Linked DNA regions of Callithrix jacchus. The main gene of each other region encodes a partner of the protein of the gene in region 2 in a complex. Links are inferred from orthologs where the notes say so. Each region holds a gene or a part of one and is shown on either strand. Other genes may lie near its edges. The genes, in order: PALS1 and CRB1.

Region 1 (4,523 bases), on a different chromosome or scaffold from region 2:
AAAAAGGAACAAATGCATGAGAGAAAGAATCAACCCTGCCTGTTAAGCGATTTGGAGAAGACAACTTGCTGTTTTAACACTAAGACATCCTGAGACGTGCACTGAACATAGAATATGGAGACAAGTATTTTAGTATATGCATGTAGCTCCAAGTCTGCCACTTACTAGCAGTCAGACTATGGATTACTTAACTCCTGCAAGCCTCTCTTTTTCATGAAAAATGAAGAGGTTAGACTATATAACCACTAAGATTACTTCCAACTCAACGATCCTATGATTCAGTAAGAATATGATAAAAAATTATATTCTAGCAATGGCTTGTGCCTGTAATCCCAGAACTTTGGGAGGTCAAGGTAGGTGGATCACCTGAGGTCAGGAGTTCGAGGCTAGCCTGGCCAACATGGCCAAACCCTGTCTCCAATAAAAATATGAAAATTAGCAGGGTGTGGTGAACAGCTACTCAGGAGGCTGAGGTAGAAGAATCGCTTTAACCCAGGAAGTGAAGACTGCAGTGAGCCCAGATCACACCACTTCACTCCAGCCTGGCCGACAGAGCAAGACTCTGTCTCACAAAAAGAAAAGAAAATTATATTCTAAAGCACATATGTCAAGATACTATCTTTTCTAGACACCCTGAAATCAGAAAATATCAGAGAAACAGGGAATCTCAGTATTACATAAAATTAATCAAATTTCTTGGAATGTCTGATAAAATTTTATTTAAATTTTTTCATGACATAGCCCTCAGGAGATCCTGAGAACATGTGCCCCTGAATTGAGATTTTTAATCAAGATTATAATTCTAGATCATGTAAAAACTAAACCCACTGTACTGACTTGGGTCACCCTGAGGTAGAACTTACATATTGTCTGCTTTAACATTCTAAAACAAATTAATGTTAATCCACCTTTACTTGTCAAGTTCAAGTCTGTCTAGCCAAAAATCATTCAGATACCTGCTAAAGTTTACTCGTTTTTTTTTTTTTTTGAGACGGGAGTTTCGCTCTTGTTACCCAGGCTGGAGTGCAAGAGCGCGATCTCGGCTTACCGCAACCTCCACCTCCTGGGTTCAGGCAATTCTCCTGCCTCAGCCTCCCGAGTAGCTGGGACTACAGGCACACGCCACCATGCCCAGCTAATTTTTTGTATCTTTAGTAGACACGGGGTTTCACCATTTTGACCAGGATGGTCTCGATCTCATGATCCACCTGCCTTGGCCTCCCAAAGTGCTGGGATTACAGGCTTGAGCCACCGTGCCCTGCCGATTTTTTTTTTTTTTTGAGACAGTCTCTCTCTGTTGCACAGACTGGAGTGCAGTGGGGTGATCTCAGCTCACTGCAACCTCCATCTCCTGGGTTCAAGCAATTCTCCTGCCTCAGCCACTCGAGTAGCTGAAATTACAGGCCTATACCACCACACCCGGCTAATTTTTTGTATTTTTAGTAGAGATGGGGTTTTGCCCTGTTGACCAGGCTGGTCTCGAACACTGGACCTCAAATAATTCACCCGCATCGGCCTCCCAAAGGGCTGGGATTATAGGCGTCAGACACCGCACCCGGCCAAATTTACTAGATTTTTAAAGATAAAATAATGAATTGCTTTTCCTATTTTTGCCTGTTTCATCTATAAATCTCTTACATTATAATTTAATAGCTCATCCTGCTGCAAATAGAAAGCCTACAAAACCTATCCACAATACACTATGTCCACGGGGACCTAGTAAAAAAAAAATTGGTAGTTCATAATTCAAGAAAGCTTATTTAGTAACTTTCATGACCACCAATACTTCAAAGACACCAATAACCAACACGTCATTTGTTCCTATTGCAGAATTTAACAGGTAATTAACCTCCTGTATAATCCAAAAGCATAATTAGTAAACCATCATTAAAACATATTTTTAAAATCAGAAATATTAACACCTTTCACTGTGTCAGTCAAATCAAAATTTCAAAATTTTTGTTCAACTGACTTTCCAAATCTAAATTCTTACTATTGTAAACGAGTATGGAGACAAAACACACACTACATACCACATCTAAAAACTTCCTAGCCATCAGATTTTAATTTTAGCATAAACTGTCAAGAAAAACCTTTCGACCGAAACCTACATTCCAAACACATTACTGTATATCAATCAAGTAAACAGGTGAGTTATTATCTTTAGAAAGTTATATTATTTACTACAAAGATCGTTTAATCCAACCTTCAATAAACGTAGATTACAATTTACAGGCTTCAAAGTTCAATGTGCAAACTTATATTATCAGAAACCATTAACAAAATTAGGCTTTTATTTAAAAGTGGTCACAAGGAAGCAGGAACTGTTTGCGTGTTTAAGAACGCAATGAGTAGCAGAATACCAGCAGCTGAGTCAGGCAGAGGGACGCTGACTACTTTCCGACTTCCAAAGGAAAGCGTTCCCTAGGCGATCTCCCCCACCCGGCCGGGAGAATCCAGCTCGTCGCGACCTCCGGGCGGGGGCGCAGGGGGAAGACCACTGCCCGCGGCGCCCCACGCACCTCCGGCCGGGCAGGCTGTGGCCCGCGCCAAGGTGCATGACCGGCCAAGGAGAAGGAGCGGGCACCGCGCCGGCAGCGTTACTCCGAGGGACAAAGGGTGGGTTCACACCCTCCACGGCCACGGCTCCCGCGCCTGAGGAAGACCGCCTGGCGGCCGGGGGTCCCCAGCCCGCCGGAGTTTGCACGGCGTGTGGGGGAGGGGGAGTCCGACCGCCCCTCCCCCGCCGCGCTGCCGGAGACCTGTTGATTAAGATCTCCACAGCCCAGCCGCCACCAATCCGCCTCTTACCTCCGCGCCCCGGCTCCGCTAGCCTCCCGCCCCGGCCGCTCCGAAGCACTGCCGAAGCGACAGCCCTCCGGCGGCCCTTAAAATACCGGATAAAGAATCCAGAAACTCCGGACTCCTCACCTCAGAATCCTTAGACCCCGCCCCACAGCCAGCCTCCGCCGTCGCCGCCGCCGCCGCCGCCGCAGCCGCCAGCAACTCCACCTCTAGACCGCGCGAGACCGGCCCCTGCGGCCGCCGCGAGACCGCGCACGCGCCCCCGGGACTCTGGCTCAGCGGGCACACGGGTCCCAGTCCCACCCCTCCCATGAGAGGCTGTAGCGGCTCGCCCAATCCCTAGCCGGTGCGGAGAGAGCGCCCGTTCATTGGTCGTCTCCTCAGTTCCCGCCGGGTGCGCGCACTGGCGCGCCTCCAAGTCTAAAACGCGAACAGCTGGGGGCTGACTGGCCCTGAGGAGCCCCTCCGGGGTTTAGCGGGCGGGTTCTGTGGTGTAGACGCTAAGGCTTCCCTGGGGCTTTACAGCCCTTGGCTCTTCTGTTTCTGGATGACGGTTTCTGACGAAAATATGATTCTTGAAGGTATTCCTCGTGTTCTGTCAAGTTAGTCACACAATCTAACATTTGTTTAAAAAAAAAAAATGACGTAAACACCTGGATGTGTGCACTGTCCCGCAGAAGACTCCAGAAAGCCAGCAGCTGCGCTGACTTCTGAAAACCAGAAAGCAAGGATGGCAAGGGCTAGAGCTATTTCCCAGAGGTCTCCTGAAGGGACAGAGAGTTACGCAGGCCAGCCCATGCCCCAGGCACGGCTGGCGCCCTCGGGACCTGGATGTGCCACCCTTGAAATGGGCAGGACTCAGGCGGGTTCGGGAGGAAGTCAGAACAGATTGGAGTACGTTCTAAGGAGAAATGCCAGCAAATGTGTCTTGACACTTCCAGTAAAGCCATCGGTTGGTCTCTGCCTTGACAGTACCTTCCGAGGAACCCCATCCCACCTTCGAACACGTGCAGGGTTTGTTAATCGACCTCTCCTTCTATGAGGCCAAAATCTGCCTATGACTCCAGCCCAGGGCCACAATTTCCCCCAGGGGCACAGTCCTCCCTCAAAGCCTGCGGATATGCTATTTCTCACGATTTTCTTCATTTTGCCCCACCGTATTTTTCCATTTTGCAATCTCCCCAGATCCTGACTTTCAAGTTCTTTCACATTCTTCCCCATTACGCTCTTCTGGACAGCCTATGGGTTGTTAGTGTACCTCCTTAGGGACACAGTGATGCCCTGAACGAAGCAAACCATTGCTCCTGGTGGTGAAGATCTTCGGGATGCCTACCCTTCCCAGATTTGTTATCTTTCTCAAATCTGATCAGCATTCTGTCCAAGTGTTTAGTAACACAGAGCCGAGGACAGAGCTCTGCTACATGCCTCTAAAGACTTTAATACTCCTGCCTTCAAAAATTTCTCCGAAGGCTTTGAGTACAGATGGACAGCACAACCAAAATGTCTTCTTGGCCCGTATTCCTCCACAAAGATGCAGTGAGAACTGGTGAAATGCCCAACTGAAATCCGGATAAAGTCTGTCTCCAGGATTCCTAGAAACCATTAGCCATACCCCAAAAGAAAAAATGGTTAGTGTGTGTGACTTACTTTGTTTTCTAAGTTATTTTGTTTGTTCGTTTGTTTTTGTTTGAGACGGAGTTTTACTCTTGTCACCCAGG
Region 2 (4,446 bases):
ACATGCCGAATTTTAAGAATATGTGATTACTCCCTAACGAATAATCAACCTTCTCTGACCTATTAAGCAAATTCAATTATTTATTAATACTGGAATTAAGATTGAATAAGCCGGACCACATTTAATCTTTATAGGTTCTATTTGTTCTTCATTCTTTTGGGTATATTAGAAAGAAAGTACTTTTAAAAATTACTCCATTCAAATCAGTGACTTAGTAATTGCTACGAGTTTTCAGAAGATTGAATGCTACCCCAAACTCTTTGACGTTGTTCTAGGAACTCTAATAGTAATTTTATCAAACCACATTTTATTTACATGCTATGACCAAACTTTAAATATAGATTAAAACAGTTACTTTTAAATTAATCTAGATGTGGTATTTAGATTGTCAATGTTTAGTTAACTCCCAAATTTATAAAGGACTAGAGAAAGAAACATTGCTTTTCTAATTCACAGTATGGTAGTTTCTGTAAAACCCTTCACAACAGATTTGTATATCAAGGTCCCAAAAAGTTCATTATGGAGTACTCTTATTATTTAAAACAATCTCTGAATAATGGACCACAGGAGAGTCTCTTTCTAATAAGTTTCTCTTTTAGTACATCAGAAGCAAAAAATAATAGCTCCTTTTGAATTAGTAAAACTTAGCTGGTCTCACACATTAGAACAAGTTTTGCAAAATGATGGAACAGGTATGAAAACCATCAGGACAAATTCATTGCAACTTCAAGTTAGAAGAATGTCTACCTGCTCAGGAACAGAAAGTGAATGTCACTTCCTGAATGCTGCTCTAATATTCTTCATGTCATGTATCCTCAACTGGAACACATAAAGGGCATTAGACAAAACATAAACAGCATTCCCCCGGTAGCTGAGCAAGGCAGAACTCTAGATCAAAAATACAATATGGAGCTGGAGGTGATTATTTTATCTTAAATTTAAGGGAACATGTTTCAAAGTTCAAAAGGAAGAATCATTAATTCCCTCAGTTAATATGGTATTAACAACTGAAATTTATTTTTCCCTTTCTTTTCATGTTTTGAGACAGAGTGTAGCTCTGTCGCCCAGGCTGGAGTGCAGTGGCAGGATCACAGCTTACTGCAGCCTCCACCTCCCTGGTTCAAGCAATCCTCCCACCTCAGCCTCCCTACTAGCCGATTGCCAACAAATATATTAACATGGACAAAAGTCTACCTGCTTAAAAATAGAAGAAAATGAGACTTCAAATTTACTTTTTAAGATAAATAAAAATACTGTACTGTAGAATAAATCAAATAATTACAAAGTATTTAGAAATACTTTATATATACAAATAATTACAAAGTATCTATCAATAAATACAAATGATTACAATCATTTTACAATAATTACTATCAGAAATACAAATAATTACAAAGTATCAATCGATAAAATCACCTACTCAAAGAGAGCAAAAACAAATGATGTATATGTAATTATCGATGTATAGTTATTATACTCAATTAAAGATATTATATATTCATTTCCTTTAAAACAGACTGCAGCAAACTCTAGGAATTTTCATATATATTGCATTGAATGACAAAGCTGTTTGCCATAAACTACATCATAAATTCACTTCACATTCATTTTATATCTTATATCTTTTTTCTCATTTCTTATTTCTCCTACCTGCACAACTAAACACACCACTTCTCTTCCTCATTTCACATTATCTGGGGCCCACTTTAAGTTTCAAGGAGGGTAAATAAGTACTAAAAGAACAACTCTTTGACAAGTATATCTCTGAAAAAAAAATCCTTTGTGCATGTGTGTTGCAGTCAAGTATTTCACTGTTCATTTGTTAAAGTCTGACTTGGTTTCTCTGTACTTGCCTTCCGCTACCTACCCAGGGCATTTACTTATTTCTTCACCCAAACTCTGATATATGTTCAGCTATAAACTGTGCTAGTAACAATCTCACTGGTACAGCCACAGAAGTTGACCCAGATTACACAACACTGTGTGCTAACGCCAAGTTGTCTTGTTCAACGACAGCTGCTCTATGCTTTGCCTTATTGATATTCAGATTCAACAGACACAAATCACATGGCCCCTTTAACATGCACATACTCTCCCTGTCTTCATTTTAAACGTGTTCAATAGCTACTGTCCTTCATAAACACACAGCTGGGGCCGTTTGGTCTCCTCTGATTTTCCATCCTGCCATAGAACTGACAAGATTATCCCAGAAACATTGTTCTTGTTACTATTTGGGGAAGTTCATGAAAAATAACATCTTCATTTATAAAACAGAAGCACCTAACAGTAAAAGCCCATTTCTCTGGTGAAAGAAACACTTTGAACCATTACTTTTTGGGAAACACTGAGACTATCCCCCTGATTATGAGAGCAAATGTTGCAATACAGAGTTATTTTAAAGTGAAGATAACTATATAGAATGTGGGAATAAAATGAAATATAGCTCATGAATAACTTTCTTTTAAAGGATATCAATTAGCAAGTGCCAAATCTATTCTGTAGAAGTGTAAACACAACAAAATATCTTCTTTTCTATGTGACCATTTCATTCTCCAGCTCACTACTACAAAAGCTAAAAACAAAATTTCTGCCCATGAATGCCTATTGGAAATCACAGAATCTTAAAATTGACTGTTCACATAGACTGGTATCACTGATTTTTTTTAACACAGAACACTTAAAAAAACAAATAAAAACTTCCTTTTTTAGCATTGTATTTTACAGAACATGCAACATGATCCGTTATTTGTAAGAAATATAAGCCAGAAATAAACCAGGAAAAATGCCCAAAGTTCAAGACACGGGAAAGGCTTACTTTTTATGTAGATGAGCAGTGAGAAACTGAGGTAGAAGATAAGAAGGTACTTAATGTTCTTAAGTGCCATGGTCGTCCTCAGAGAACATCCTCTGATGTGTTGTTGCTGGTCTGGTCTGGTCTGTCTCCTGAGGCCAGTCCGTCTCAGAGAGGAGCAGGTGCCTCAGAACTCCCAGGTGCCATCTCTGTCCCACCCCACTACGGCTCCTTCACAGAAAACACAGGGACTTAGATTCAAAAAGCAGTTTGTGCTTCTTAGCATCACTTACGCTGGAGAATGGGGTGATTTTTCAAACCTGGTGCAGATTTTTTTCAGGCTGGATTGGATTCATCCCCACCTCAAGCCTTTGATACGAGTTTTCTTCTGTTAATGCTGGCTCCTCCAAAGGTCCTACATTAGGATAGTGTCTTCAATTGCTCTCAACAGAGGGATTAATTTCTGATAACTGTCTTGCCACACAATTATGATCTGGCAACTTTTAAAGGAATACCGTATGTTCCTATGTATTTACTTTCATCTTCAGAACACAATTCACAGACATTTTTTTCTGTTTATAAATTATATTCCCACAACTCAGATTTCTGTTGTTTATAAGCTGTGCCAAGATAGACGAAAACTTAAACTACTGCATAAAATGAACAGAGTTCTGGAGATCATTTAAGGGCAGATTTTGTCCATAAACCCAGAGCTCATTTTATTCTCGGTTCATGAAATTACATGCTCTGGGATTTCTTGAGCTTTAGTTTTACCATAATTGATGAATGCGAACATGTTTGCTTATATAGAAAATATATTTCTTTTAAATACAACAATATTTTTCTCAGATTAAATTGTTCAAGTTCTTAAAATTGTATTTTTATTAGATACTTCATGAAAACATCCATTCTTTAAAATCTGAATGCTAGCCTGTAATCCCAGCACTTTGGGAGGCCGAGGCGGGGGATCACGAGGTCAGGAGATCGAGACCATCCTGGTCAACATGGTGAAACCCCGTCTCTACTAAAAAATATATACAAAAAATTAGCTGGGCATGGTGCGCGTGCCTGTAATCCCAGCTCCTCAGGAGGCTGAGGCAGGAGAATTGCCTGAACCCAGGAGGCGGAGGTTGCCGTGAGCCGAGATCGCGCCATTGCACTCCAGCCTGGGTAACAAGAGCGAAACACGGTCTCAAAAAAAAAAAAAAAAAAAAAAATCTGAATGCTTTCTTCTCTAAGTGGTGTTAGTGATAGTACAGAGCCTTTTTCCATTGTTAAAACTGCTCACTTGTTACAGTTTAAAATGCAATTTCTGTGGCTGTTACAAAGCTTTATAAATCTGCCAGCTTTTTAAACTATATAACGTATAGTTTGAAGTCTTTATATTTTCTGCCCATGTATCTAATATTGTGATAATCAGCTTAATGTCTTTTATCAATATTATTCTCTCACATACTCCCAGATTTACTTGCTAGAGTTTAGCCATTTAAAATTATTTAAATTTTATAGAATTCATGACAATTATTATTTTTAAAAAATTTTCTTCTTCTCATGCAAATAATTTAACTCGGGCAATTTTTAACAATTAGAGTCAAAGAATTTCACAGTACAGAGGCGTTACTAACCCCCTGTTTTAATCCGTGCGTTTTGTCAAT

Evidence for each region.
Region 1: the proteins of CRB1 (region 2) and PALS1 are in contact, whole or in part, in a crystal structure (PDB 4UU5), measured with the Homo sapiens proteins. The link is inferred for Callithrix jacchus from reciprocal best matches to the Homo sapiens genes CRB1 and PALS1. Residues at the interface, in NP_957705.1 of Homo sapiens: Ala1401, Met1402, Glu1403, Arg1404, Leu1405, Ile1406; in NP_071919.2 of Homo sapiens: Lys261, Pro266, Leu267, Gly268, Ala269, Thr270, Val271, Arg272, Asn273, Ser281, Arg282, Val284, Val314, Asn315, Val317, Phe318, Leu321.

Annotation. Positions count from the first base shown.
Region 1 is NC_133509.1:102,221,041-102,225,563, reverse strand, and holds the start of PALS1 (protein PALS1), read right to left. Parts: upstream 3,070-4,523; 5' UTR 2,932-3,069; exon of another isoform or gene 2,812-2,931; intron 1-2,811. UniProt on the Homo sapiens protein: Plays a role in tight junction biogenesis and in the establishment of cell polarity in epithelial cells.
Region 2 is NC_133520.1:24,126,770-24,131,215, reverse strand, and holds the start of CRB1 (protein crumbs homolog 1), read right to left. Parts: upstream 3,036-4,446; 5' UTR 2,886-3,035; coding exon 2,816-2,885; intron 1-2,815. UniProt on the Homo sapiens protein: Plays a role in photoreceptor morphogenesis in the retina. May maintain cell polarization and adhesion.